Linked DNA regions of Oryzias latipes. The protein of the gene in region 5 purifies or fractionates together with the protein of the main gene of each other region. This does not show direct contact. Links are inferred from orthologs where the notes say so. Each region holds a gene or a part of one and is shown on either strand. Other genes may lie near its edges. The genes, in order: dap3, snw1, gtf2f1, hnrnpa3, hnrnpu, eftud2 and rpl18.

Evidence for each region.
Region 1: the proteins of hnrnpu (region 5) and dap3 purify together in Homo sapiens (affinity purification with mass spectrometry; 3 studies listed by BioGRID and IntAct, with this or other methods). This does not show direct contact. The link is inferred for Oryzias latipes from reciprocal best matches to the Homo sapiens genes HNRNPU and DAP3.
Region 2: the proteins of hnrnpu (region 5) and snw1 purify together in Homo sapiens (affinity purification with mass spectrometry; 3 studies listed by BioGRID and IntAct, with this or other methods). This does not show direct contact. The link is inferred for Oryzias latipes from reciprocal best matches to the Homo sapiens genes HNRNPU and SNW1.
Region 3: the proteins of hnrnpu (region 5) and gtf2f1 purify together in Homo sapiens (affinity purification with western blotting; 3 studies listed by BioGRID, with this or other methods). This does not show direct contact. The link is inferred for Oryzias latipes from reciprocal best matches to the Homo sapiens genes HNRNPU and GTF2F1.
Region 4: the proteins of hnrnpu (region 5) and hnrnpa3 fractionate together in Homo sapiens (co-fractionation; 3 studies listed by BioGRID, with this or other methods). This does not show direct contact. The link is inferred for Oryzias latipes from reciprocal best matches to the Homo sapiens genes HNRNPU and HNRNPA3.
Region 6: the proteins of hnrnpu (region 5) and eftud2 fractionate together in Homo sapiens (co-fractionation; 3 studies listed by BioGRID, with this or other methods). This does not show direct contact. The link is inferred for Oryzias latipes from reciprocal best matches to the Homo sapiens genes HNRNPU and EFTUD2.
Region 7: the proteins of hnrnpu (region 5) and rpl18 fractionate together in Homo sapiens (co-fractionation; 3 studies listed by BioGRID and IntAct, with this or other methods). This does not show direct contact. The link is inferred for Oryzias latipes from reciprocal best matches to the Homo sapiens genes HNRNPU and RPL18.

Annotation. Positions count from the first base shown.
Region 1 is NC_019874.2:18,822,683-18,826,372, reverse strand, and holds the end of dap3 (28S ribosomal protein S29, mitochondrial), read right to left. Parts: intron 3,276-3,690; coding exon 3,195-3,275; intron 2,636-3,194; coding exon 2,471-2,635; intron 2,373-2,470; coding exon 2,313-2,372; intron 1,716-2,312; coding exon 1,626-1,715; intron 1,013-1,625; coding exon 895-1,012; intron 816-894; coding exon 730-815; 3' UTR 580-729; downstream 1-579. UniProt on the Homo sapiens protein: As a component of the mitochondrial small ribosomal subunit, it plays a role in the translation of mitochondrial mRNAs. Involved in mediating interferon-gamma-induced cell death. Displays GTPase activity in vitro.
Region 2 is NC_019882.2:3,678,784-3,683,170, forward strand, and holds the start of snw1 (SNW domain-containing protein 1), read right to left. Parts: upstream 2,825-4,387; 5' UTR 2,712-2,824; coding exon 2,698-2,711; intron 2,276-2,697; coding exon 2,122-2,275; intron 2,048-2,121; coding exon 1,886-2,047; intron 870-1,885; coding exon 774-869; intron 628-773; coding exon 521-627; intron 1-520. UniProt on the Homo sapiens protein: Involved in pre-mRNA splicing as component of the spliceosome. As a component of the minor spliceosome, involved in the splicing of U12-type introns in pre-mRNAs.
Region 3 is NC_019866.2:14,106,226-14,110,639, reverse strand, and holds the start of gtf2f1 (general transcription factor IIF subunit 1), read right to left. Parts: upstream 2,960-4,414; 5' UTR 2,693-2,959; intron 2,467-2,692; 5' UTR 2,422-2,466; coding exon 2,410-2,421; intron 2,109-2,409; coding exon 2,062-2,108; intron 1,883-2,061; coding exon 1,810-1,882; intron 1,470-1,809; coding exon 1,276-1,469; intron 960-1,275; coding exon 789-959; intron 718-788; coding exon 512-717; intron 400-511; coding exon 249-399; intron 86-248; coding exon 30-85; intron 1-29. UniProt on the Homo sapiens protein: TFIIF is a general transcription initiation factor that binds to RNA polymerase II and helps to recruit it to the initiation complex in collaboration with TFIIB. It promotes transcription elongation.
Region 4 is NC_019879.2:22,672,531-22,675,991, reverse strand, and holds part of hnrnpa3 (heterogeneous nuclear ribonucleoprotein A3), read right to left. Parts: intron 3,435-3,461; coding exon 3,294-3,434; intron 3,206-3,293; coding exon 3,089-3,205; intron 1,713-3,088; coding exon 1,648-1,712; 3' UTR 1,633-1,647; intron 1,532-1,632; exon of another isoform or gene 213-1,531; 3' UTR 1-212. UniProt on the Homo sapiens protein: Plays a role in cytoplasmic trafficking of RNA. Binds to the cis-acting response element, A2RE. May be involved in pre-mRNA splicing.
Region 5 is NC_019882.2:13,244,971-13,249,067, forward strand, and holds the start of hnrnpu (heterogeneous nuclear ribonucleoprotein U), read right to left. Parts: upstream 2,909-4,097; 5' UTR 2,747-2,908; coding exon 2,314-2,746; intron 1,210-2,313; coding exon 1,095-1,209; intron 1-1,094. UniProt on the Homo sapiens protein: DNA- and RNA-binding protein involved in several cellular processes such as nuclear chromatin organization, telomere-length regulation, transcription, mRNA alternative splicing and stability, Xist-mediated transcriptional silencing and mitotic cell progression.
Region 6 is NC_019866.2:5,481,914-5,485,577, forward strand, and holds part of eftud2 (116 kDa U5 small nuclear ribonucleoprotein component), read right to left. Parts: intron 3,586-3,664; coding exon 3,474-3,585; intron 3,389-3,473; coding exon 3,248-3,388; intron 3,181-3,247; coding exon 3,079-3,180; intron 2,209-3,078; coding exon 2,126-2,208; intron 1,945-2,125; coding exon 1,858-1,944; intron 1,139-1,857; coding exon 1,012-1,138; intron 1-1,011. UniProt on the Homo sapiens protein: Required for pre-mRNA splicing as component of the spliceosome, including pre-catalytic, catalytic and post-catalytic spliceosomal complexes. Component of the U5 snRNP and the U4/U6-U5 tri-snRNP complex, a building block of the spliceosome.
Region 7 is NC_019874.2:19,290,465-19,294,755, forward strand, and holds the start of rpl18 (60S ribosomal protein L18), read left to right. Parts: upstream 1-1,453; 5' UTR 1,454-1,474; coding exon 1,475-1,552; intron 1,553-2,132; coding exon 2,133-2,219; intron 2,220-2,647; coding exon 2,648-2,755; intron 2,756-3,320; coding exon 3,321-3,651; intron 3,652-4,012; coding exon 4,013-4,082; intron 4,083-4,291. Other genes in the region: mpv17-like protein, read left to right, coding at 443-553.

The DNA.
Region 1 (3,690 bases), on a different chromosome or scaffold from region 5:
AGTGCATGTATAAAACAAATATAGATGTAAAAATAATCATCGTGTAAAATTGTAATGTCCCATGAATTATATATATATATATATATATATATATATATATATATATATATATATATATATATATATATATATATATATATATATATATATAATTTATTTTTTTATGCAACAAAAATAAAACTTAAGTAAAAAAAATTGTACTATGTATTTCTGTCAAATAGGAAGACATTTGTTGTCCCCTGAATACAAAGTAACATGTATGAAAACAAGGTTTATGCAGTAACTAATTAATAACTAAATATTTACACAGAATGAGAGTTCAGACAATGATTTGCCCTTTATAAATATATTGATAAAGTCAAACATTTTAAAAAATCCAAAATTAACTAAAAACCTTTATAAATGAACAGGGACGCAGTTTTTTTGTTTGTTTTTAAAAAGAAGCAGTGAAACAGACTATCATACACCTTTGCTCATTTGAGGCTAATGCAAATGTAAATTTTTGCTCTTTAACACTAAATATATTTTCGGTTAAGTCAAATTTTGACCGTTTACCTTCTTAATAAATCAAGCAAGACATTTTCCTTAAATATTTTATTAATAAACAAATGTAATGATTTATAAAACACAGTGACATAGATGTTGCATGAAGACATAGATGTCTGAATGCATATGCGTTTATACCCATACAGCGACATTTACATGTTTACTTCTGTGAAAAGCATGGCTTTATAAGAAGCCGCAGAGTCTGTCAAACATGGTTGGATTCCTGTTGCTCAGGAAGATGAGCTCTTTCTTCCCTTCCTCTGTTCGACCTGATGGAAACAAGGAAACCAAGACATGAAAATAAAATGACAAATAAATATTGCCATATTACCTTATTTCATCACTTACTCTGTGGATGCTGCAGCCAGTTACGCTCTGTATAGTAAAGGTAACAACTCTCAAACTCCTTCTCGCTGTAGTTGGGAACTGACAGAGGGATGAAGGGATCCATGCTGTCAAACCCCCTCTGGTGAGTAAAGCACAGCACGTTTAAGGGCCAAACACTGGACCTGCTGTAGCAAGACTGCAGTACCCAACATGCACTGATCAACAATTCAGCATCATTTAGAAGAACAGTATAGAGCACAACACATCCTTTCAGACAATTCAAGCAAGTGCAAAAACAGATATATCTAGAGTTCAGATGCACAGAAGAAAGAAATCAATAATGAATATATTAAATAGGAAGCTGTGCATTAGAGAGATTCAATTTAGAGTCAAGCCCACACATACTCTTGGGGGGGTTGACCTTGCTTTTAGTACGATGATATCATTGCAGTCAAGAGCAAAGTAAAAGAATGTGGTTGACAAGGATGGATTGACAGGTCCATTAAGTTAAGTGATGCTGTGCAGGAAGCACAACTCCTTACTTAATGAAAACAATCTCTTACAAAAGAAACAAATACTGGAGAGAAAAAAAGAATGTTTATGATTATTGACATGGTTTTGCTCTCAAACAACAAAGAGTATTTGATCTTTAATTTTCTGACTGCAGGTAAAAAAGAATTATGCTTTAGAAGCAATAAAGGATTTTTAAAAGCAGACAAACTGTTGGGCTTTAAAGGTAAATATGATCTAACCTCTCCCAGGAGCTCCTGAGGTAAGTAAGCAGACTTTGGAGTGTAAAGAGACCCCGTCTGAGACAGAGTGGTGATGATGGCCCCTCCAATCTGCGTGAAAGGACAGAAAAATTAACAAAAAACACACACACAAAAAAAGTACTCTTAAAGACCCACTATCATGGACATTGTGTTTTTTCAACATGTTCCTGTGGCATTTTTCTGATAATGGAAGACATATATAACGAATATTAAGCTTAAAATTGCTTTGCTGAGGTTTTTTTTTTAATTGTTGTCAATCTGGAGCAAGCAAACAAAAAAAGCTGTTTGAAAAAGAGCATATATGTTATGTAGAAAAGACACAGGGCAGGCCAAAGGCTCCCTGCTCCACTCCATTCTGATGCATCCCCTTGTAGACAAATCAATCCATGTCCGTCTCCGTTTTCCTCTTCTGTGCTGGTATCTGGCTCAAAACTGTAAGGAAGATATCTCCAATAATTTTCACCATTTTTGTTGCACCGTTAATGTTAAGTTGGGGCTGTCGCTGCCGCTCTGCAGAAACTATGTTCTAAAAAAACAACAAAGGTTTTGAGATTTAGCCCAAAAATGGATATCATAATTAAAAGACCACCAGGAACACTTTGAAAAAGCAAAAAAGATGATCAGAGTGGGGCTTTAAGCAACTTTTTGAAGCTGTGTTCTACTAACCCAGTCATTTTTTAACAACTTCCTCAGGTTATAGACCAGTGTGAGTTCTTCTGGATCCACCTGATATTAGGGAGAATAAATATATAACATCAGACTTTTTATCTTAACAAAAAACACTGTGTTCGATGCACAACAGCACTGAGAATGTGTTTTCTCACAGCGCTCTTATCCTCCTTCTTAATAGTAGACTTTCCCCAAAGGGCATTGACACCATCCACTGCCACAGCCAATCGGAAGTTGCTCTCGGGATGCCCGCTTTGCAGCCTAAGCTCCTTCATCACGGCTGCTACCACATCACTGCTGCTCTTCACACGGGATGTGCCCTGCAGCAAAACAAACACCAGCAGGGGGATCACTGTCAATTATGAAAGGGAAATCCAACAGCAGTGTCGGGAACATAACAAAAACAAACAAAAAAAAAAAAATCAGGAAAATTGAGAATTAGATTCAGGAAACAAAGTTTAAATTAGGAAAAGAGGAGCTTACTTGTGCCCTGATTAAAAATGTAGCCACCAAACACTTGAATTGATATATTCCAACATTCAACTGTTAGACATTTGAGAATTCCCATAATTCCAAAAGTTTTCTTTAGCTTTGCTGTGACACAAATCGTGAAGTTCAAATTCAAATATGTTTTATTTCAAATCAAAACAACAATTACATAAAATAAATCAATGCAAGACTTTGAAAATTAGATTTGAAAGGGGATTGGAAACCGCTTAAGCTTATAGGAAACCAATCCCCCACTCAACACCACTCATAACAGACACCAAAATGAAACATTTGACATTATAACGTTAACACACGACAAGACAAAGACAAACAAACATGCCCAAACGCTTTAGTTAAATGGGGAAAGTTGGTGAACATTTTTGCACCTACTTGATCCACAAGTTCCCCAAGTGGACGCCCCTCTTCTGTGCTTTCCCTCTTTGTCCACACGTAGCGCTGCTTAATTTTTATCTAAAAAGAACACAATCTTCAAAAACACTTTCAGAAATAGTTTTACCCTAGAACACTATCGCCGGGTGATTTTTACCCGCACAAAACTATTTACATGAATTTCAACATGCCGCGTGTCAAGAAGTCTGTGCCTTCACCAGGTAAGTCTCACAGGTCCCAGGAATGGGTGGACAAAGATTAAGTTTCTAGTATCGTTTTATTACTTTTTAGGAATATTTTGTTCTCAAATTCCTAGTTTTTCAGGAATTTAGAGCGTGTTTTTAGGAACTTCCTATGTTTTCAACCACAGTTGAAAATAAAAGAAAACCCCTCCAATTTATCATTTGATGTCATGTTTTGATCTATTTTTTATGACAAGTCCTCATGTTGGGTAAATTATATCAGGTAAAAATTCCCCAGCAAAAGTGATGGTGTA
Region 2 (4,387 bases), about 9.6 Mb from region 5:
ATAATAGTTCTCCACCAAAAGCTGTAGGAGGAGAAATATTTGAAAAGTTGTTTATTGAAGGGGATTTTATTTAACCCCATGAAGGGTAAATCAACATCTCCATATACTCTCTACACAACTTTCAGTCGTTTTCTGCAAACGTCAGGTGGAAAGGTTCTCGTCAATCATCGACTCGCTGGTGCTTCAACGCAACGTTGAAGGAAACTTCCAGCTTCAATATTTGCAAAATGTTGTGATAGACCGACTGTTCAATACTTCCTTTTGTTGTTTGATATAGTTCCAGAAGTAAGCATGTTCGATTAGACAAGAGATGTTTATGCTTCAGCCTCTACGCTTGATTGGTGGAGAAAGTGTTTAAAATAAGAGCAGCTGGCAAAAGTAATTGGGCAAAAACGTCGCAAGAATTGGTTGAATTCATGTGAACTGGTGTGATTGCAAAATCCAAGAGGATCTGATGGAACAACAAAGAAGTCCTCGATCTAAAATAGAAGTACTGTTTATGATTCAGGTAAATTGCTACCTGATATATTGTGCAGGAGCGAGTTTGTCGGCGGCCCGGACAGGCATGGCTGCAGCAATCTTTTGCGACACCTGCTTTTGTAGAGCGGCCCGAGTCTTCTCAGTCAACTGCAAAGAGCATCCATCCCCAACCATGAGAAACTACACATGCTTACAGTAATTAAAAACAATAAGTAAGGGCACGCTGAAAGACAATTTCACCAAATCGGATGAATGAATCCTGAATGTCTGCACGAGCCCGAGCAGCAAATTACCTCTTCTACAGCCTCCTCATCCGGCTTCTGAAGGCCTGAAGCGTCTTCATTAAGAACTTCTTTTGGGAGCAGATCAGTGTACTTGCTGTAAATCACCTACAAAAATCAAGAAGAAAATTATAGAAATAATCTCACTCAAAATTTACCAATATGGCAAAACATGCAGACTCATAGAATAGGATAGATTGTGTAAAGCTGCGTTTACACTAAATGCCATTTGCGCATTAGGAGTGTCCAGTTTTAATGTTAGCTTAACGTAAAGAAGCAATCAGATTTGATTTTGGAGCTGCACACCAGTCTGGCAGCCGCGCGCTTTTTTGGCTGTTGCGGTGCGTCAAGAGTTCAAAAATATGAACTTCGGCAAACAAGATGCGCCGCGTCAACCAATCAGGGACTCCTCTTCGGACCGGGATGCGTTGAAGATGTTATAAGTGGATCAAGACACACAAAAAAAGGTCCTGAATGCAGAACAGAAAGTCGTCAAACTGGGTTTCCCTTTCAGGAGCAGATGTGGGAGTCTCTGGATGATCTCATTGATCAAGACATGGAGACGTGCCTATCGACATTTTTGTAGAGCTCTTCAAAGTAGAAAAACGTGATATCTCAACATCATCCCTGTCTGCAGCAATGAGGCTAAAACCGTTTGGCGGTAGCTCCTCCCACATGCGTCTGGAGTGTCGTGTATGAACACCAATAGAAATGTAAGGATCAAACATGGTTTTTACAAAAAACAAAACACTATAGTGTGCATTTTTTTTAAATGACAACCAAACCAAGCTGTATTACCAAAGTTAAGATTAGGTCCCACATTTCTGTGGAGATTCTGTCATCCAGAACATCGGTTCTTCAGCTGGACTTTTAGAGGTCAATTTAGAATCTGTCAAGTCATATAATGAACCTCTCATGTTAGTTTGATAAAGTTCATCGTGTCTTGTATTATTAACTGACTTGTTGGTTCTTTTTTATGTGAAAAAATACAAATAAAACACAGCCGTGTCTGATAGGAATAGAACCAAGAAGTCAGAACCTCTCATGTATTTGTGGACACTAAGAGCAAGAATAGGGTTTTAAAGCTCCTCACTGACTGCCAGAAAGAGGAAAAGCTCAAGTACCTTATCCTTAGCCTGTCCTTGTCTGGCAATGGCATCATATTTGATTTTCCCTTCTGCGTCCACTTGAACTGCCAGGGCGTTAGAGGTCTTCTTCTTCCTGCCCATCTCCAGAGGAAACTGGGCCACGTGAATCTCTGGAAAAGCCCCGCCATCTCCGAAGTCCTAGGAACACCCAGAATGTTTTGTAGAAATGCGAAACTAGGCAGTGAACCAATGTGTAATCCATTGAAGTGCACCTCAAATGCACGCGGAACCCAGCCTTTTCTGTGTCCGTAAGGAGGGGGTTCTTTACGGGACGCAACCAGCGCAGTGGAATAGGATTTCTGGGTCCGAATCCGCTCTTCTGCTTCCAGCTGGTCCTGAGACAGCTGGGTCGGTGCCGGTAAATAGCTGTGCAAAACAGGTCCACATAATGCAGTTTAAAGACAACTTAGCAAGTCGCTGTAAACGCGGATCAGCGTGAAACGACGTCAAAGTAGCAGGAACAAAAACTGCAAACCTGAAACGTTAATGCAGGTAAAGAGGTTTATTTAACACGATATCAAATACATGTGTTTAAGTAATAGATTAAACAAACAAGCTAACTTCAGAAACGGTCGTTTGAGGGTACAAGCTAATGCTAACCCCGTCTCACTAGTTAGCACTAGCTAGCATTAGCTAACATCATAAACACAGAAAAGAGCGAAACGTTTAAAGTTTAACTAAATATTTAACGTTTAATATTAAACCAAATAAATGTATAACAAACACAGACAGAAACTCCGATCGCATTTTGTGCCTTATTCGCCAAAAGGCCTCACTTAGAGACTTACCTCGTCAGAGACATTTTCCTTTCTTCCTGAACTATGAAGTGAGCATGCGCAAGAACAGGCCGTAAGCGAAAAAGAGAAGAAGGTTGCCAGGTTTGACAATTCTAAGCTCTAATACATATCAAACCATGTCCAGTTCGATAAAAACAAAATAAAATAAAAGTACATACTCGTTTTACAACATTTTATTTGTTATGTTAACTTGTTAAGTTAATTACATAATAAAAGCCAATGCACACAAAAAACAGGCTTTCACCCACCCAATGAAAAAAACACGAAACTTTATACATACACTTGTGCTTCCCACATTTTTTTCTAATTATTAAAAAACCCTATATGTTGTATTGGCCAATCATCTATTCATCTATAAAATAAAGTTATTAAATATTTAAAATAATTGAAATAACACAGCCTTTATATTTTCTATGCATACAAATTTGGACTTGCTTTACTTCTGACGGCCGCTTATCCAAATTCCTTTAAAAATAAATTACACCCTGTACCAAATAAGATCTTCTGGCTGCATCATAACTTATAAACTATAAGAACTTTGTCTCTGAACAGCAACTACACAGTGTTGTGGCGCAGAGGATCAGAAAAAGAGCTTTAAGGCTTATTTGAAAAAAACAAAACAAAAAACACTCAGACAGTACACTACAACTCTTATTATTATTTTGTTCCAAACTTCACATTTATAATTTCTTCAAATCATTCCCTTTTTTTTTTTAAACCTTAGAGCCACAATGGATGGACATGTGGCTCCATAGCCTCAGGTTGCAGATCCCTGCCCTGGACTCAGCAGGCCAGGTTCCCAATGAAGAAACACGGGAGTCAAAGGTAAAGTTAAGAAGTTAAAGCAACATTTAAATTACACAAAAAACAACAATAGAAAAATAATAATTTTATAAAAAAACAAGGATGACAGAATAAAAGAATGATATGCTTGAATAAAAAAAATGCATAAATGTTTTTATAAATTACATAAGGATACTTCAGATACATATTTTGTTACTTCAAAAGAGGATTTTTTTTTGGTGGATGGAAACTTCCTCCATTTCCTTTGGATTGTTTTCATATTTAATAAAAAGTATCATTCATATTCAGGAAGAGACTCAGACTGCCAGAGAACTTTTGCTGAAACAGAAGGAAATCCCTTAGGATCTAATAGAAAACAGGTAGCCACCTTATTAAGTCCACTCATGGATAAGTGATTTCATATCCTGCTTTCATGCAGATGTTGCGAGTCTAAATCCTTTTTCTGTCAATCTTAAAGCCTAAATGTATATTAAAGCCTGTGATCTGTCAATAAGGTTTTTCTAAGATATCTAGCAGTTTGCACTGCTGTCGTGCAGAGACACGAATCCTCAAAATCAATGAAATTCTTTGCCTTATTTTTATTTCCCACCAGCGAATGTTGTCTCTTGATTTCATTAAGTTTGTTCCTCTTCATTTTGGATCCCATATTTATCAGGATTTTGTTCTCTTTGGTATAACTTGAAATTATAAACAAATGCGATCAGGAAACAATGGGGTTGATTTACACTTTTGCACAGGTATCCCTGAAATTTAGCAGAAAAGTTTGAACATTTTTTTCTGAAATTAGGGATCAGGGTTACCTCGAAACCAACAATTTCAAATCCTGACACAAAATCCCGCCGAATTTAATCCCAAATCTAACACATCACCGTAAAAC
Region 3 (4,414 bases), on a different chromosome or scaffold from region 5:
CTAAATGTTCCTAGTGTAAAAACAAAAACCTTTAGGGTGCTCCTCCTGTTTGTTTGGCTTCTCCTTTGTTAGCTCCTCCTCTGAACTAAAAAGGAAACAAATGATCTAAAAGTGTCACGCATTTAGCTTTAGTTTGAATTCAAAGAACGTAGAAAATCAAAAATGCAGACTTGTTCTTCTAAAAAGACCAAATAAAAACATGTTCTTTCTTTAATATGTATATGTGGTAAATACGCTGAGGAGCCCACCTGCTTTCATCTGACATATAATCCACCTCTAGACCCTCATAGTCTCCATCATCGCTGTCTTCCAGGGCATCCTTCTCATTGCTCTTTTGTTTCTTTTTCTTTGCTTTCCCTTTGGCTTTGTCTTTCTTTGCCTTTGCTTTGTTTTCTCCATCTGCAAACGAAGAAGAGACGGAAGCTGCAGGTGAGGAAAATGAGCTGACAGACGTTTGGAGGAAGGGGCTGAGCGCCCTGACAGTTCTGGAGCCTGCTGCATGGATCCTTACCATCTCCCATGCTGTTGTCGCTGTCGTCGCTGCTCATCTCCAGGTCTTCATCCAGATCATGAATTCGCAAATCTCCACCCTTCCCGCCCCCTTTCTTTTTCTTCTTTCCGGGTTTGTCGGCGTCATCGTCATCCTCCTCGCCCCGCTCCTGTTCCCGGAGGCGTCTCTGAAGCATGATGCTGAAGTGATTCACCACCTTGTTCCGCCTGGACAAAGAAGGAAATGACTTTTAAAACACAAAAGGCATTCTCCAAGTCCAGCTTGCTGCTCTGCTAACCTGCCCCACTCCTCCTCAGCTTCCTCTGCAGTCAGAGTTCGGTGCTTCGCCACCGGCGTGAAGTTGTACCAGCCGTGAACGGGGAAAGCCTCGAAGGCTCCATCAGGACACTGCGTAAAGATGTAGTAGGATGCATTTTCTGTCACGCCGCCCTTCTTTATACCTTTGAACCTGATGCAGAAAGACAAATATTATAGCCAGACTGAAGATTGTAGAACTGGAATCATAGGAGAATCTTGCTGCAATAAACATTTTAGGAAAAATAAAAAACACACCAACAGATTTTGTTAAAAATTGGTGAGGATTACACCAAATCTTACTCAGTACGAAGACGTATTTGCTCATTTTCTACAACGGTTAAATAAATATGGTTTATTGATTTTCTTTATTTGAAGAAAAAAAAGTCATAACTTCAAGAAAGCCTGCAGGTAAATTAAAAAAAAAAAATGTACTTAAGTTTCAAAAATAGAAACATTTATCGCTTTACCTTTTTCCTGCTTTTCCGTTGACCTTTAAAATCCACGGCTGATCCTCCACCTTGAACTCTCTGGTCACAATGCCATACTTCTTCCGCCGCGCTTCCTCGCGCTGCTTTTTGCCAAACTCGCTCCCTGCCCCTCCCTCTGGTAACTCCTCCTCGCCATATATTCGCCGAGCACTCAGGTCGCGTTCCATGCGAGCCTGGGGGAGTGACAAAGCAGGATATTTAACTTAATACCTTTTTTTTTTTTAGAACTTTTATCAAACAAGGGAAGTCCCATCGAGATTAGAAATCTCGTTTCCAAGGGAGACCTGGCCAAGAGGCACCACATTTCAATACAAAAAATACATTTAAAAAAACATCATTAGTACCACATATGTCATAAAACGCAGTTGCTTTATTAATCCGTACTCCCTTGTATTTTGTCACAAATTTCTGAATTCCTAAGGATGTTTTAAGAGATCTTATTGTTTTTAATTATAACCAAATTTAAAATATAGATTTACTTTACTGGAGCAAAAAAGAAGACATGAAGCCCACCTGTGTCCAGGCCGAACAGTTGACTTTGTCTCCAGAATTAAAAGCCATGATGTTGTACTTCTTGCTTGTATTTCTATGGGGCAAGAAAATAAATAAAAAAATAAAAAGAGTTGTTTTTGCAAGGCGGAGTCAAGTAACACGTTGACAAATTTAGGGCAGAATGATGCAAAACATTACTATTTCAAAGGATAACGGTGTCATTTCTGTGTTATGGTCAACATTACTAACACATTACTGCTTTCATTTACTCACTTGGGGACTCTCACTGTGTATTCTGTAGTCGAAGCACTGCTGCCCCCCTGGAAGATGGTAAACAAACAAACAAACAAACAAATAATGTGGAATTTCTATTAAAAAAAGGTTTTGCTATAAGATCAGCGACCTTCTGATTGAATGAGTTTTTGCCTGCATGCAACTCAGGCTTTACAATTAGTCTCCACTGATAAATTCGTGTAACATTGTCTTCTGTAGCGCAGATTAATAAAGTTTTCTTTCCTGCTGTAACCGGAAGCTGCCGGGCTAAAATAGCTTAAATGAAACGAAAACATTTTACATGTTAATAATAATAAAAATAATCATTAAAAAAAAGTCAGAACTTACCAGAGATGTCATGATTGTTTATCAACAACTTCTGGATTTGCCAACACTTCACTGGAGCTATTAAGGGTTTACAGAAAAAGAAAGGACATTTTAGCAGGTATTTCACTAATGTTTAGTGCAACATGATCATGTCGGCCATTTTCATAATGTGTAAAAATATGATTACGTTTATTACAAAACTAGTTTTATAGACGGGTTAGAAAAAAACAAATGTTCGAAAGCAAACAATCACCGAAAACTGGTTTTATTGTGAAAGAAAATAACAATGAATGCTGAGTCTCACCAACCCGGTCGTAGAGATTTCAATGGTTAGCTCTGATTAGATCATTAGATCTCCAGCACGATAAACGAGCTCATATGGTCGTTTTAGTCCAACTTCAGACCGAGTGAAGATGCATAAAAGGAAAATGAAATACAAAAATAGTGTTGTTGTTTTTTTTAAAAGAAAAAGCCCCGCATCTCCGAGAGTAAAACACTACTACTGGTGTACCGGTGAGGTGCGCGTTGTTGCAGCGTAATCGTTCCGTCACTTTTTACGGTCGACAGGAAACCTTGGCACGTCACAAATAGTTCCTATTGAAAATGCAGACAGTAACTGGAATGAAAGAAAAAAAAATCAAACTAATAAGTAAAAACAGACTTACCAACAAAGAAAAACATATAAATTAAATTTGTTTCCCTGAAATGTAGTTTAAAATTTATAAAAACTTTATTAAAAAAGTAAAACATTATTTAAAAAAGTAATTAAATTAATTGTTTCCTTTAAAAAATAATGATTAGGCTGTGAACACAGTGTTAAGAGCCGATTATGCTTGAGTGCACCTGAATGTAAGGAAAGGAAAGTGTAAATGCCATTCACAATTTTTACAATTTGACAATTAATCTGTGATCATGGCCGGCCCTCCCTATACGCGAATTACGCAGCCGCGTAGGGCCCCCACATCACCAGGGCCCCGAAGTGGCGAAAAAATAAAATAAAAAAAAGACCCAAATCTGGCAACCTATTTCATAGCTGTGAATGTTGTGCAAAAGAAAGTTGGCTGCACTTTAATGATCCCCCTTGTCAACAAACCTGAACCAATCTGGCAACCCAAATAATGACGTTACGCCACTCTCAGCAACGATTGGCCAACATCACTGCATCTGAGCCTGGCACAGTGTGCATTTACGAGCGCATTTTGTTTCAATAAAGTTGAGAAAAGAAAAAAAAATAGCTCATTTTGTCACGCTGATCAAAGCGACAACAAGAGCACTTCATGCCAAAGAGACTTTATCCATCAGGAGCTGAAAAAAGATGAACAACTTCAGCATCAATCACAAGGTAAGTTTGGAGGATGATGGGGCCATATTTTTTACATTATCCAGTATTTCTGTGCATTCGCGATTTAAAATACTAATTGATCCGAAGTTCGGTAAAGTTAGAAAGACAGGTGAAGTTTGCACATAAACGACCCCGTTTGTTGTAATTTCCAATGGAAAACTCTAAAATAATTCTGATACCCAAGTTTCCTGGATGAGGTCAGACAGGACCTTCCAAAACGGCGAAGAGAAGATTAAATAACGACAACGGTGATGGCTGATAAATGTTTAACTCACGTTATTGTATTGTTTAATTGTTTTGCTAACACATATTTAGTGCGTTCTGCATTTTCCGGTTTACGTCAGTATAGAAACTGCTGTTTATCTGTTATAGACAGTCTGGTAGTCTGACTTTTTCAACAATGTGTCTTAAAATCTTGCATTGGCATGGAATATGGAGAATCAAAACTGCCAAATACAAGTAGGAAATAAAGGTTCTAATTTATTAATGACAAATAAAATAAATGTACTCATTTTAAAATTATGAACATACAAAATAATAGAATAAGAAGTGTATAAATGCTTATATTTCCATTTATACTCAAATTATTATTCACATTTATTATTTATAAATAGGTACATTTCTTTCTCATTTGTATTTCGCAGTTTTGGTTCTACATAATGAGGATGTTTTGCACAGTTCCGT
Region 4 (3,461 bases), on a different chromosome or scaffold from region 5:
GTCATTCAAAGAACCTGAATGACGACTTAAGAACCCTCCCATTCTCACCTTAAGTCTATTTCCCTGTACGCCTTACCACACAGTACATAATCAACATTCAACCTTGAAAAATATTTACAAAAAAAAAAAAAAAAAGTCTTACCCATCCAGAACTTTCCAAGTTATCAGGTCTTTACAGATTTTCGGCAAGAAGAGAATGCCCAAATCCACATCTGTAAATCAAGCAAAGTGGTTACTCTTACCTGATCCATCTTCTCAAGTCAGCTTTTGTGAAATATTGGCTCCCTTTTCTTGTTCAATGTCTGACATCTAGTATTTGCAGGTTAAACTGCTGTATCTCACTAAACAGGATCTTCAGTGAGTCCAGGACCTAGTCTTTCTTGGCGAGAACCAGCTGCTGGAGTTTAGCTAGCCTTGGAAAAAGACAGATGCTCACTACCAGGCATGACACTGCAAACTTCCTTCCATGGCCGTTGCGCTCGATGCTGCCTTCTCCCTTCTCTCTCAAAATGCTGACTGGTCCACTGTGCTGGGGCTGAAGTCGTCCTGTCTGATTGTCATCCTCCACACTAGCGACGCTGAGGGCCAAACTGCAGGAGCTTGTGGTTCTCATACTCCTACCTTCTCAACACTGGCAAAGCTGCACTCGGGGCCCTTCCCTGGAACTATTCAAACCTCCCTTTTAAAATGGCGACGGTATCCGTGAAAGCACAGAATATTGCACATATGAACAGACACCATCATGTTTTTCATAACAATCCCAAATTTGGGACAAGTCAGAAAAGGCTGATATGCTAACCACAGTCACAATGAGCATGCATGCTTTTTTTCCGAACCAATGATGCACTGAATCTTGTGTTACTTTACTAAACAACTTTATTCAGTCGTTTCTTTCACTAACCAAAAATACGGGAACAATCTGGAATCTGTTTCAATGGAAGAAATGAGAAGTGCGGGATTCCCTTAGTTCTAATCTAAGCTGTTTATTTCTGTTGACACTGACACTATGAAAAAGTTACACACTGTGCTTTTACATACAAATCAATACACACTTGACACTTGCAATTCGGAAATAATAAATTAGGAGGGAAGAAACAACTACTTCTGGCTTTTGAAGGGCCTTTTATAACTATGCTATCTGACAGTTGCTAAGATCAAAAATGTATGTTTAACTGGTCATTATGATAAAACTAACCAATATAAAAAATTTAAACAAAAATATGTAGGACTTAAAAAAAGAAAGAAAAGAAAGAAAATTTACCCCTGATCCAATAGGCACAATACACACAATTCAGACACAGAAAGGAAAACTTCCTCATTAGGTTCACATCTAGGAGAAATAGGAAAGGACATCGTCTGCACTCATGTCTTGTTCATACAGTCCTCCTTCCATACACTTCTTGGATAAGCTGCAGTAATGTCTGACTTCTGTGTTCCTCTACTGCTTTCAGATGACTGCCTCAAAGTAACCTGCAGCTTTCCTGACAACTCCTTTGCTCACCTCCTCGCCTCTCCTGCTAAGAACTGAAGCCTGTTGAATGGATACAGGATAAGACAAATAGTTAATCTGCACTTTCATGGGCTCACTCTGAACTGTGCTTCGAGGCTGCTGCCAGACTGAACGCTACTTACCAAAACAACCAAGAATTAATACCGCCGTGAGCCATAACCACCGCCGCCGCCGCCACCGCCACTCCCAGAGCCATAACCACCTGCAATTTGGAGTGAAAAATATCTTTATTATTCCCTCAGGGGAAACTACACTGCTGAGACAAATTATATCAAAGGGGTACATAGAAATAAAACTGTCAGTAGCTGCAGTTACATGGACAAAAGTAATCGGAATAAATGCCTGATCAGAATAAGAATGTGTCATGTAAACACGCCGTTCGGAATACTCTGCACCGATCAGCCTCATTCGGATCAATATTTCCTTCCGATCGAGATAGGAGGGTTGTGCCGATTGTTGATTCAATCGTGGTGCATGTAAACAATTTATTCCGATTGTGGGTCACTACTGCTGGCTTTTCTGTCATGCGTAGATGGTGTGGCGCTCCAGAGGCTTTGGAGCGCTAACAGGACCGGCCGGCTGCTCCGCGGGAGCAAACCATGTCTCTACGCAGAGCAGCCGGACTCGTAGGTTTGTGCGGGTAGGGGAGGGTGCTTTGTTACGGTGTGCGCTCCGGAGAAAGCTTTGTAGTCCGTCCGGCTGCTCTGCATGAGCGAGCTGCTGGACTCAGGAGATACGTGTCTCCGAGCAGAGGAGCGGCTTTCAGAAGGTGTGTCAGCTGGCGGAAGCAGCTTTTTAAAGCAGAAATGCCGCTCCGAGCAGTCCTGAGAAACGAGCAAATAATCGCATGGATTTGTTTTTCCAATCATGTCCAGACAAAGTAAAGGCTGATGTCATTGCCACATATACACATTGCGGCATTGCCCGCATGGATTTTAAGTTCATGCACGGCCAAATGCTGTAGGCAGATAATAGATTAATCCTAACTCTTCTTCCGGGTTCGTGCAGCCAAGAATACAGCACTGGTCACATGAATTTAGAAAGCACTTAATAGTAATCATAACAATAACAAAAGCACACTTTGAAGATCATCTCGCTCTATGCTGTAGCTTTGTTTGTTTACAACAGAACTCGCTATTTCTTCTTCTACTGCGTTCTGGTATTTTAGAGGATCAAAAGTATGGTGTATGTAAACAGTGTGATAATCGGATAAAGTTTTTCTGGGACTATGTACACAGTTCAATTCTAACCTGATCTTTGATCCGATCAAAGACATTTTGCACATGTAACCGCAGACTAGGCAAATATGTATTTTAAGGAGCCACATATGTTATTAACTCAAAAAATCTATCATTAGTCAGAGGATTGAACCAGCTCAGTGTAATTATCCTGCTCCCCAATGTTAGTTTATGCTACTTTAAATCATGCTTTATTTGTTGCAGCACACAGTTAAACTGAAGCACTTTTTAAAGTGAAGTGTGGATCCTTATTATAAAAAGTCCTATTTTATTTGCATCTCAGGAAATTGTGTCAGTTGTTGTCATTGAAGACAATACCAAAAATATTGGAGCTTCTCACCACTATAGGGTCCACCAGAGTTCCTGCCACCAAAGTTACCTCCTTTCATGGGCCCATAGTTCGACTGCTGCCCCCCATAATTTCCAAAGTCATTGTAATTTCCACCACCTCCATAACCTAAAAATCCAATGCAAACATTTATTATAAACAAACAAAACATATCAAGTTTCATATGTTCATGACTTGGAAATAAGAGCATATTTACCTCCACTATTGCCTCCATAACCTCCGTCACAGTTGCCACCAAATCCTCCACCCTGGTTGCCATATCCTGGACCACCTCCCCCATAGCCGCCGCCTCCACCTCCTCTGTAGCCCGGCCCCCCGCCATAGTTTCCTCCTGGACCTATTGATAACAATTAAACCAGTGTAT
Region 5 (4,097 bases):
CCACTGGGAACGCCTACAAAATAGATCTAAAGATGATCAGAGTGGGACTTTAACACAAAGGCCTGATGTAAACCCACTTTTACCACAAAGGTCCTTAAAGCTTAAAAATTATTTTAGATTATTTTGAAAGCAGGTTATGTTGTTTAGAAGGGAAAATATGGGCAAAGATTAAACTGATAAATCCCTAAAAACGTCAAGTGGACAATTTGGAGAAGCAGGAAGTGACTTTCCTGGATTAACACAACCAGAAATAAGTGATCACAATTTAAAAATAAATAAAACAGCCAACATTTTTGATGCTGTGCCCATCGATCTTCAGCGTCCAGGTAGTGCAATGAAAACAACACACGTGACCAAAAAAAGTAAGTTCATGTTCACACTCACACTGGAACTCCCTTGCAAGCCATGCATGAGGTCACAGAACGCGGGGTATAAAAACTCTTCCAAACGCACACAACATGACATTTTACACAAACATGATACAGAAACAGCAACAAGAGTGTGATAGAGAGAAAACAACAACAAAAAGGCAGAACACTCCGAAAAAACATGGACGATCACTACCGAAGCTCCTCCGTGGACGCTCCAATAATCTTGATTTTTTTCTTTAAATCTCCTAAATCCTTGTGTGCTACTTTCTTTCAGACCCCTCGGCTACTTTCCTCAACCCACCCCTCCTTTTGAAAAAGTGTACACCTGCTATTTCCCTCTGTGGGTTTTGCTTAGAGTAGCCTCCATTCACCTTAAGGACACAACGGGCTTTTCCAAAAGAAACAAAACAATAAGTGGCATGAGGAACAGATGTGAAAAGTCACAGATGCACTTCTGCTACAGAATGCAGTCCATTAAAGACGCTATGTGAGTGGGCATTGTAGAGTAAATGGTAAGGCTCTTTAGGTAGTCAGGGATGACCCTGAAAACACATGTGTGAAAGTTATTAAATAAGAGAATACTTTTTATTTTAAACAAAAAAACAGAGGGTTTTCCTCTTGCTAGAAATGTGTGCATTGGCACTTAAAGCCAATACAATCCAACAAAGCTATGGATGGCGCTTCAGGGATGCTGAAGGCCATTTTGCTCTGTCCCATCCTTACCAGCTGTATTTGTTCTCTTCAATAAATTCAAAGTAGCCCCTTCCATGTTCCTCCCGGCGTCTCTTAACACCCTTCTTATTCTTCTGATCAGCATTCGTGTCTTTGTCCGCATCCCCTTTGAAAATAGAACAAAGATATAGAATGAGGTGCTCCTTTTTGAGACAGAGAGAGAGGTCGGACTAGCAGTGGGGTTCTGGCCCACAAAGCCCGTTCATTAGTTACATTGTGTCCATCATAATTCATATGAATGTTCAAAGAGGCAGCACTATACTTACACTGAAAATACAGTACAATCAAATGGTTATGACAGCTTTTAAGACCAGGTAGTTAAACAATAAACTGGCCAAAAATTATAAAATAAATGAGTGATGCTTTGTGGGGGCGAAATAAAAGTCTGAAAAATACACCATTGTCAATGGGGTTTGATTAACTTATAAGGGAAAGTTTACTGTTTAAGGGGGATAAATAAATCATGCAAGTAAGGCTATTTAGATATGGTTTTAAACTACCTCCCCATTTGTTACACTGTATGATTTTGGAACCTTTATTAAACAGAAAAACCACGACAAAAAAAACTAGCTAAACAAAAGCAGCAGAACCAGCTGAGCTACCACTATTTAAATTTGGGGTTAGCCATCGCAGATATTCTCCTGTTTATTTTATTTGTGCAGACTGGGAAATGAAATGTTTCAAAAGTAATTCCAGTGAGATTGTACAAATGACAGTAAGATACAAGATTTGTGGCTTGCAAATTCCCCCTTTATGTCTTAACAGGAAGGGAAAATCTGAAATGGCTAACCCTGCTAAATTAGCTTGTTAGCACTACACCAGAAACAAAGGAAATCGCGCTAGCTGACAAGCTAACACACCTTACAAAATCGAAAGAAAAAGCTTAAAGGTCAACCAAAAAGGACGGTTCTCGGCATATAAATTTAATTAAAACTATTACTAAACTTTAAATTGTGTTTTTGAAACGACTCTTTAAAACGTGCCTGAGAGAATATGGTAACGCGTAATTAGAGTTACAAAACGATTAACTAAGAGGAGGTGACCGATGCTAGCTGCTAATGCTAACTAGCTTGAATCACGCCGCCGTGTTCAACATGGACGCTCCTTGGTAACGCGCTAAAATCTTCGCAACCAGCCCCCGAAAAAAAAAAACAGCCAGCCACAGTCCATTCAGCCAGCCACCTTTTCAGCATCACTTCACCAGACTCACCCTCAGCAGCTTGCTCCCCGGGCTCACCATCCTCCGTGTCAATTTTTTCCATGTCGTCCACATCTCCCTTCAGCATCTCGTCGTCTTCGTCGCCTTCTTCCCCCTCACCCATGTCTTCGTCATCCGCTACGCCATTGCCCTCGTCCCCATTATCATTATCCTGTTCTTCCTCATTAGCCTCCATGCTCTCTTCTATCGGGCCGTCGCCTTCCTCTTCCTCTCCCATCACCTCCTGTTCGGCGGCCTGTTCGAGGGTTTCCTCCTCCGATCCCTCCTGGGCCGCAGAAGAATCCCCGACCAGGGCCTCCTCGTCGAGCGCGGCCTGCAGGCGGTCCATCAGCTCGGCCTTCAGCCCCTTGTCCGACAGATTACGCTTCTTCAGCTCGTCTTTCAGCTCGTTCACTTTCAGCTTTTTCACGTTAATTGTGCTCATTTTGAATGCAAGAGTACAAACAGTTTTTAAAAAATCGACGATAAATAAATAACTGAACGCCTATAGACAGGAAACTGCGCCAAAATAGCACCCGCTGTCCGAGAAGTCTTCGCCGGCGGAGAGCTGCGCTGAAACGGCGGTTGAGTGGGGAGGGGAGGAGGACGGCCTCTCTCCTACCGTAATCACTGAATAAATGGCGCAGCGGGTTTTTTCCCTCTTCTGGTAAACCTGCCATCTGCTACTGTCACACAAGAAAACATCTATACTTATCTTACAAACACATTATACATTATTGCAGAGAAATATTGTCCACTTATTTGCTAAAAAAGAGAAAAAAAGTTTCCTTTTTTAAATGACAGCTTAATTTGGGCCTCAGCAACAAAACGGGACAAACTACAGTTAATGTTGAAATTTAATACCAGTTTCAATGGAAATTTCCTTTGCAGCTTTGGTCTTTTATTATGAACTCTCTTTGGAATGTTGGTACTTAGTCACCTCATGACTACACTTCCACCACTGTGCATGGCAGCAGAATTATTGAATTTTATCTCCCAACTTTTCTTATCAAAGACCCACTCCATTGAAAAGCATGCTTTTCTTTTATGTGTTTTTAAAATTTTCTTTAAGCATTTTCCAATGATGATGGGCTGCACTGTGGTGTAGTGTTTAGCGCTCTTGCCTCACAGCAAGAAGGCCCCTGGTTCAAGTCCGGCTGGGGGACCTGAAACAGAACATCAATGGGGGACCTTTCTGTGTGGAGTTTGCATGTTCTCCCCGTGCATGTGTGGGTTTTCTCCGGTGACTCCAGCTTCCACCCACCATCCAAAAACATGCTTCATAGGTCACTCTAAATTGTCCATAGGTGTGAATGTGGGTGTGTGAAATGTGTGACCCAGCGACAGACTGGCGACCTGTCCAGGGAGTCCCCTGCCTTCGCCCATAAGTGGCCGGGATAGGCTACAGCAGCCCCGTGACTCCAAAAGGGATAAACAGAGGAAGATGAATGAATTTTCTAATGATGGAGGACATATATAAAGAAAATTCAGTTCTGAGTATTTCTTTATTCAAAGTTGTGAATCAGGAATAGAAAAGAAATCCAGTCTAAAAAAGCTTGTAGCTCTGATGCTACAGTTGTCTGGCCACAAGCTTCCTGCTCTGCTCCATTCTGACGCATGAACCTGTAGACGGCTAGATCTGTGTACGTCTTTCTTTTCCTCGTCTGAGCTGGCATCTGGCTTAAAACTGTACTGCTGGATAGCTCCAATATTGCCTGCCATTGTTGTTGCAACCTGACGTTAGGTTGGGTTGCGAGGGGCTGTAAGCTAGTGGGAGAGCATGTAACAAATGGATG
Region 6 (3,664 bases), on a different chromosome or scaffold from region 5:
GAAAAAAAGGCTAATTTGCCCCAACAGCTGCACAACAACAGACCCCGCTAAAATCCTTTAACGAGAATGAGCTGTAGCTAAAGAGCTCCATGGTTTCATATAAAAAAATGCAACTTTTATGTCATCTTTTATGTTATGAGTTCTCATTTGTTCTTTAAAGTAGATTTAAATCGGAAACCTTCACATGAATTTATGGTTTAGAGCAACGGCCCCCAGGCCAGGGGACCGTTCCTGTTTCGTGGGACAGCTGGTATCAGACTGGAAAGAAAGAAAAAAAAAAAAAAAACACCCAACCTACATATTTTCTGTTTTATTTATAATTTTATTCTGAGGGAAGTTTTACTGAAAACTGCTGGACTCTCCCCACCACATCCAACAGATTCTAGGCACATGTCAAGTAGCAGTACTTTATTAAAGCCGCTGCCCCCACCGCTAAATAGAAACCCCCCAGCTAGCAAAGTCAAAAAATAAAAAACGTATTTGGAAAGTTTCTTTTGGCAGAAAGGAGATGACTTCAAAATAAAAGCAAGCTGCCTTTACCAGACAAAAACCAGTTGTCTTTCCTGCATAATATTCTCCAAACGGCTGTCTTCTAATGTTAGAAAGATGCTAATAAAATTGCTAATACGGTGGATTCACATTTACGTATATATTAAGAAAAAATTGCCAGTTGTAGTGACCGTTTTTTCTTTTATTCTTGCATTTATCCCTTGCACCTTAAAAGCCGGATGAGGTTGAAGGCTACAGCATCACATTTTAAATCTAATTTAATTTTTAAATCAGCTGTAGATAGATTTTCACCCTCAAAGGTTAAGAAAACTGGAGCTTTAAAAGACCGATACGTGAAAATATTATATGAGACGGCAAAACTGTGCCATGGCCTGGAAAAGGCTGCACACCACTGATTAAGGGTTAAAAACAGATTTGCTCAGATAAAAAAAAAGACATTTGTTGCTGCTCTTGGATCAGATAGAACCTGCAGTTCAAACCAGCAGCCAGCGGGCGTCGTACCTCTGACGGCAGCGTGTCGTCCACGAGAATGTTGGGTCCTGTTGTGTCCGGTCCAAAGGCCCAGATGGACCTTGCAGCCAGCAGATCCCAGTCGTACTTTGTCTGGAAAAACTCCCCCAGCTTTTTCCTGTGGCGAAGAAACAGTACAAACGCTCGTTGGGAGGAGACGTGCACAGTGTGCAAGCTGGAACATTAAGGAGATTGGCTGAATGGAGGGGCAGAGGGGTTAATGGGAGAGAAGGGGTGGTGTGTGAAGTGTGTCGCTCCTGTAGCCCTGCTGCTGCAGGTTGGTCCTGCTGGGTCCAGATGGCCTCTCAGACAGGAAGCCTGTCTGCAGCATCCAAGCATGCAAGAGGGATGGGAAATTCATGCAGGCTCTTAGTGCATAATTCAATTACCGAGGGGAGGGGCTGATCAATATGCCAAGGTGAGTTTTCATAAGGACAGATTTTTCATGACACGTTGGAGGGCTTTCCCTTTCCTGCACTTCTGCAGAAATTAATTTAGAAACTCATGATTACTTTGATAATTGATTTAATGAATAAAAATATGGCTGTCACCTCCATGTGCCATTTCCAAATGAGACTCATCAGAAAGTACAGACCTACAGATCTGAGAGCAATGTCCACATCCAATAATTAGTCCATTGAAAAAGCCTTTTAACTCTACCTTCTTCCATGACTAAATTTAATTAAAGAGACAAATCTTATTTAACCCAGCAAAAGGGAAATGATGGATAAATGAATGTGCTGACATCAAAGTAACAGGCAAATTTACCATAAAGGCACATTATGTGGCTTGTGTTTAATTAAGAAGTGACTGATGGAGGCGTCTTCACATTCCTACCTGTTCCACGTGATCTGCACCACTTCGTTCTCGATGTCCTCCGCGAGTCCCTTCTCCAAGGGCTCTGCAATCATGGTGATCTTGTTCCTGTCAATCACATCACACAGATGTCACTCAGCCTGCAGAGGCTCGGAGCCAGGGGGAAGGACAGAGAGACGAAGACTTCGGACAGCGAGAGGAGTCCAGACTAAGCGCTCCAACACACAAATGAACGCTTCAAACGAGCCCGGAACAGAGCTGAATATAAACATGTCATGTTGAGCCATACTTTTTGTTTGGCGTCTCGGCAAAGCACTTCAGAGACGATGTCTCCACAACGGTTTCACAGAACGTGACGACCGGGTCTGCAACCTGTGAGCAAACACAGCAGATGTACAAGTTGTTCCACAACATTAACACAACAGCATTACATCCTTCAGACTTTTTCCAGCTAGTTTACTTCTGGAGTTCTTAAGCCTTTCACATCCGAGCTTTAACTCCAGTACTGACATTCCTTAGACCACTGTAACTCTTCGACCGCAATTAACGGAAATTTAGAGAATTCTGAAGCGAAGATAAGCAGCCTTGCATCAATATGCAACACTTTACGTTACAACTCCACAAAGGCGATGGGAAACGCCGCTTTTCTACGCACCGGAATCAGTTGACACTCGTAGATTGGCAAGTTCTGGTATGTCAACGAGTGTGTGTTGTTTAAGTGACATCTCTAGTGTTAGAGTCCAAATCCGCTCATCTTTTTTTTATCTTTTTTTAAAAGCATTTGCAGTGGTTTTTTAATCATGATTGTGACGTTTTTAGCCCAAATAAAAAAACCTGTCGTTTTCTGGAACATAGTTTCTGCAGAGCGGCAGTAGTTGACAAAATTGGAACTATCCAGCCGTACAGTTTTAAGCCTTATGCCAACCCGGAAAATGAAGACCTAAATGAATCTATTTGGCAAGTGGATGCATCAGAATGGAGCAGAGCTTGTGGCCCGCCCAGTGAATTTTGCCCAGTGAATTTTGCCCAGTGATTACCATCTTTTTCAAACAGCATTTTTTCGTATCTTCCTGATTAACGATTTGAAGAAAATACCCAAAAATTGAATTTTGAGCTTCATTTGCTTTACATATGTCCTTCATCGTCAGAAAAATGCCACAAGAACGTGTTAAAAACACAGTTTTCATCAGAGTAGGTCTTTAAAGAGTTAACAAAGTTTAAAGCAGGTGTTAATTTCCTTACTTTAATGTCGATCTCAGAGTACATCTTCCTCAGGTCGTGCATCACACAGTCCAGGTACAGCTCTCCAGTTCCTAGGATAACATGCTCTCCAGACTCTTCCACCTGGAACACAACCAGGTGGTGTTTTAGCTGTTCAGCAGCGAATGAACCAAAAACATGTCAGACTCACCTTTGTGGTCAGGGAAGGGTAGCTCTTGTTGACCTTCCTCAGGCCGTCCAACATTTTCGGCAGCTCTGACGGGTTCACCGGCTCCACTGCGATCTTGATAACCGATGCTGTGTTGAACTTTAATGGCCTGAAGATTTGAGCCTGGCAGAGGGAGGTAAATCAGCAAAAACTTGATATGGCTGAAACCTTTGAAGACCCACAGTGATATTTTCTGTTGACCTCTCACCTCTTCGTTCCCTCTGGGTTCTGTGATTGTGGCCGTCTTCACGATCGGCTGGTCACAGCCTTCGATAAGCACCCAGTTTCCTGCTGGCACTCGATTCACCTCAATTTGGTACCTGTAAAGGTGTCAGACGTTACCATTTCTTACGCAACACTCAGGTTGCGGATTTCCAAACAAAATTCAGTAAACGTGGA
Region 7 (4,291 bases), on a different chromosome or scaffold from region 5:
TATAACACTCAGTAATGCTGGCAAAGTGGCACAAACAATCATTTGCACTGAGTGAGGCTTGGTGCAGCGCTTAACTAGACTGTGAGTGATTGAAAACAGAGTCAGATGTGAGGCATCCAGGAAGTGTGCCTGGGGGTTGCTGGGAGATGAAGTGCATTCAGTACTCTGGAGAGGGTTCCCGCCGGTGACCACAGGGAGAGACAGAGCTCTAACTTCTGACATTATATGTCAATCAAAATCTTTATTTTTGTAAAATGCAATGAAATACGGATAATAGCCCTTCTATAAAGAAGATAGCAGTCACCATTTAGTAAGAAAAGAATGATGATAAAATCAATTCTTGTTTTTTTCCACAAAATCCCTATTTTGATGGCCTGTAATTATAGAATATCATATGTAACTTCAATTTTTCATGACATTTTTTCCCTTTGTTTCACCTTAGGGCATCAACTTCGTATTCGTTCCTCCTGTGGCACGGACAGTCTTCCTAGGAGGTGTTGCTCTGACGTTCACAATCTTTCTTTGCCACTTCAAACAGCAGCAGAATCAGTGACCCGAACAAGCCACACAAACTCCTGATACAAGGTTTAGATCTGGTCCCTTTGATTGATCAGATCTCAAAAAAGAAAAAAAGGGGTTGATTTGTGTACAACATGAAATGTATTAAACTTTGTTGCATTTCTAAAAATGTAAAATTTCTGACTTTATTTAAAGTGTACAAAATTTCGTTTTTGAGCAATAAAGGAAGGTATAAAGCCCTCCACTATTAAACAAATCATAAATCCACAAAAGGTCTGGATTGATCATTTTGCATAAGAAGTTTTTTGTATAATATTTTCTCCCAACAACACAATACATGTTTAATAAAATGAAGTTAAATCACATGCCACGCCATCCTGGGGAAACCTATTAGCTTTGCCAATTTTATTGACATTTCCTTCGTTTTTAAGTAATAAAATAATTTGTTTATTCAATTCATAAAAACAATTAACGTCGTGGAAAAGAAACATGACCAACAGACAAATACAATTCTCTTTAATACTGACCATAAAATACTCTTTTCTGTTTAACTTTTTCTTCACTTTTTTGATTTTCCTTTTTGCTGAAAAAGCATGTGCATCTCTGTGAAGAACGTTGAACTGTCTGTATGTAAGAAAGTGCTGAAGAAATAAAGATGCATTGACTTTGCCACAGTTTGTTTAAATAAATAAAAAAATCTAACACTGATGTTGACCTTATTGCCAGAAGTTAGATGTGAAGTATAGAACAAAGATAAGTTCAATAAAAAGTTGTTCACATTAAAATGTGATAATTTATTAGATCAAATTGCTTTAATAAAAGTTCAGCAAAAGTTCAGCAAATATACAAGGATGCTCAATGTAATGATGAGTCCCGCCACTTGGGGCAGCATCAGCAATGACCTCAACTACTTTTTTGCAGGTTGGCAGGAAGCGCGTACTTTAGAACCAATCAGATGCTCGAGATTTCGGCCGCGTGTGTTATCGCGAGAACTTTGAACTTCCTTTTCCCTTTTCGCTCTGAATCCAAGATGGTAGGTACCTCAAGACAGATTGAATACCCCGGTATCCGCATTAATCCTTTGAATTCAGCCATCCTTTCTCCACAATAAAATCCAAAATACGTTTTGATAGAAAACAGTATTCCAGTTGAGTTACGATTTTTGATTTAACCGATCACAATGTGATTAGATAATCAATTGGTTAGCTATCGAACTACTCGTTGCTGTAACATTTTTTAAACGTTTGCGCTAAAAGGTAGTCTATACGCACACACAAAACTACAGTCTTTTCTAGTTTACTCTCTAGTCCGGTATAGTCCCTTTAGATTTGTACTGGTTGGTTAACTTAAAAGAAATTCTAATTTTTTTTTGTTGCTGTTAGCTTTAGTTAGCTGCTAAACGCGTTGACCGGTGTCTGTTTGCTGTATTGCAAACCTTGTGTGTATAGCTGTATAAATTGACGCAAGATCTGTTTTGACTGTGTTTATGTGTACTGATAAAACGCGAAATTGTTATTAAATGAAATTAACATACGTGCATTCTTACTTACGTATGTTTATACAACTAGTTGATTATGCTAAAGATGTATATTTTTTTTGTTTTTTTCCTGTAGGGCGTAGACATCAGACACAACAAGGACCGCAAGGTGCACAGGAAGGAGCCAAAGAGCCAGGATATCTACCTGAGGCTCCTGGTTAAGGTAAATAACGCTCTCACAGCATCTCCTTTCAGAAGTTGTCTCAGCTGCTAGGGTGGTTCTGTAATTTAGCTTCTCAGTATTGTTAAAACTTTCATAGTTTGTAGTAGTTCAAATTAAACATCTTCTGTGTTGTCCTCTCACACATCAACCACACTCATGTCAGCCTCTGAACCACATCTCTTCCTCTTGACCTTCTTAGCAGCGCAAACATGGCATCTGTTTCCCAACCTTTGAGCTAACTAGATTCCCTCCATATAACGGAAATAGTTTACATAAGCTGCTCCTCTGTATTTATTGATGATTCTGTCCATCCCCATCACTTCCACAGAGAACATCAGCATCTTTAGCTCTACCTTTACCTAAAACCCCTGCCTCCAGTTTTATCTGTTTTTAGTAATATAATGTGGATTTTTCTTTCTTTCTGACAGTTGTACAGGTTCTTGTCTCGCCGTACCAATGCTCCTTTCAACAAGGTGGTTCTGAAGAGGTTGTTCATGAGCAGGACCAACAGGCCTCCTATCGCAATCTCCCGTCTGGTCAGTCAGTGAGCCAGTTTACTTTTCCTGATCTCACAAAAGATCTAAGTTGTTGTTCTGTGCTGGGTTTATCAGGTGTTTTACTGAAGAACAAAAGTACCTACTTTGTACTTTTATCAATCAAGCTTATTTGTTTTACTTAATTTGTCTTTTTTTGTTTTACTGAATTTGTCTTTTTTTGTAGTAGTAGTGTCTAAATTCCATAAGTAAATTTTATTTTATATTTCACTGGTTACAACAGTCTAGGTACTGTATAAACGTTTGTTATATTTTTACCCACACTAAATGATTTTTAATCTAAATATGACATTAGGGAATAACTTCCTTTCACTTTTTAGCCTATAGTTCTGATGTCATAAGGTTGTTATAACGTTTGTGTTTTGCTGTTTAGCCTTCCCATTCCCAACAGAAGCACATTAACTTCAACGCTTTTAGGCTTGATTGAAAATAGTTTTTAAATGTACAGTCAAATTTTATGGTCACCTGATTTTAGTTTATGTGCCATGAGATGTTTAGTCACAAAATATAAGTAACAGCTCTTATTGGTCTATTGCTTCCACACTAGATTCGTAAAATGAAACTTCCTGGCCGTGATAATAAAATCGCTGTTGTCGTGGGAACAGTCACTGATGATGTCAGGATTCAGGAGATCCCCAAACTCAAGGCAAGTAGTCTGATGTTTCAATATATTTGTACCCTCACTTTTGTTTACCAGCTCACAGCTTTTATTCACAACCTTCTAAAATGGGGCCTTTTGTTTTCTGCCACACAGATCTGCGCTCTGAAAGTAACTGATGGTGCACGTCGCAGGATTCTTAAATCAGGGGGACAAGTGATGACCTTTGACCAGCTGGCTTTGGCCACTCCCAAAGGACACGGCACAGTGCTGCTGTCAGGTACATGAGGTTTTAATAATTTAAATAAAAACTTAATGTTATCAGAAAAGTAAAAAAAAAATAGAATTGGAAAATTCGTGTTGTTGTTTGCTATATTTTTGTTCTAATAGTTATTAGGGAAAACATTCACTATAGTTGGACCATTTTCACTCTTAAGCAGTATAAGATTTTTTCTTGTCAAAAGAACAAATGTTAGCGTTTGTGAGACAAATTAATGCCAATATCTGGTGCAAATGTTTACAATCAAGAGATTTTAGGAAGTTTGATTGAATCCATAGGAAATAGAGAGGCTGTTCTGAAAACTTAAGGGACAATGAGCTGTTATTGTGTGACTATAATAAAAATGCTGTTTGCTGTGCAGGACCCCGCAAAGCCAGAGAGGTTTACAGGCACTTTGGAAAGGCCACTGGAACCCCTCACAGCCACACCAAGTAAGTTGACCCCTAAATACTTTTTAGTCACTGAAGATTGATTTTCAGATCCTTTTTAAAAGCAGCTGATTATTCAGATATTGAATCTTTCACACACACCTCAAATCCATTATCTTAAAATGATCGTAAATCATAAGATCATATGAATCATAAATATGTAACTCTTCTAAATTATTTTTTTAAGAAGTGGATATATATTATCTGATAAA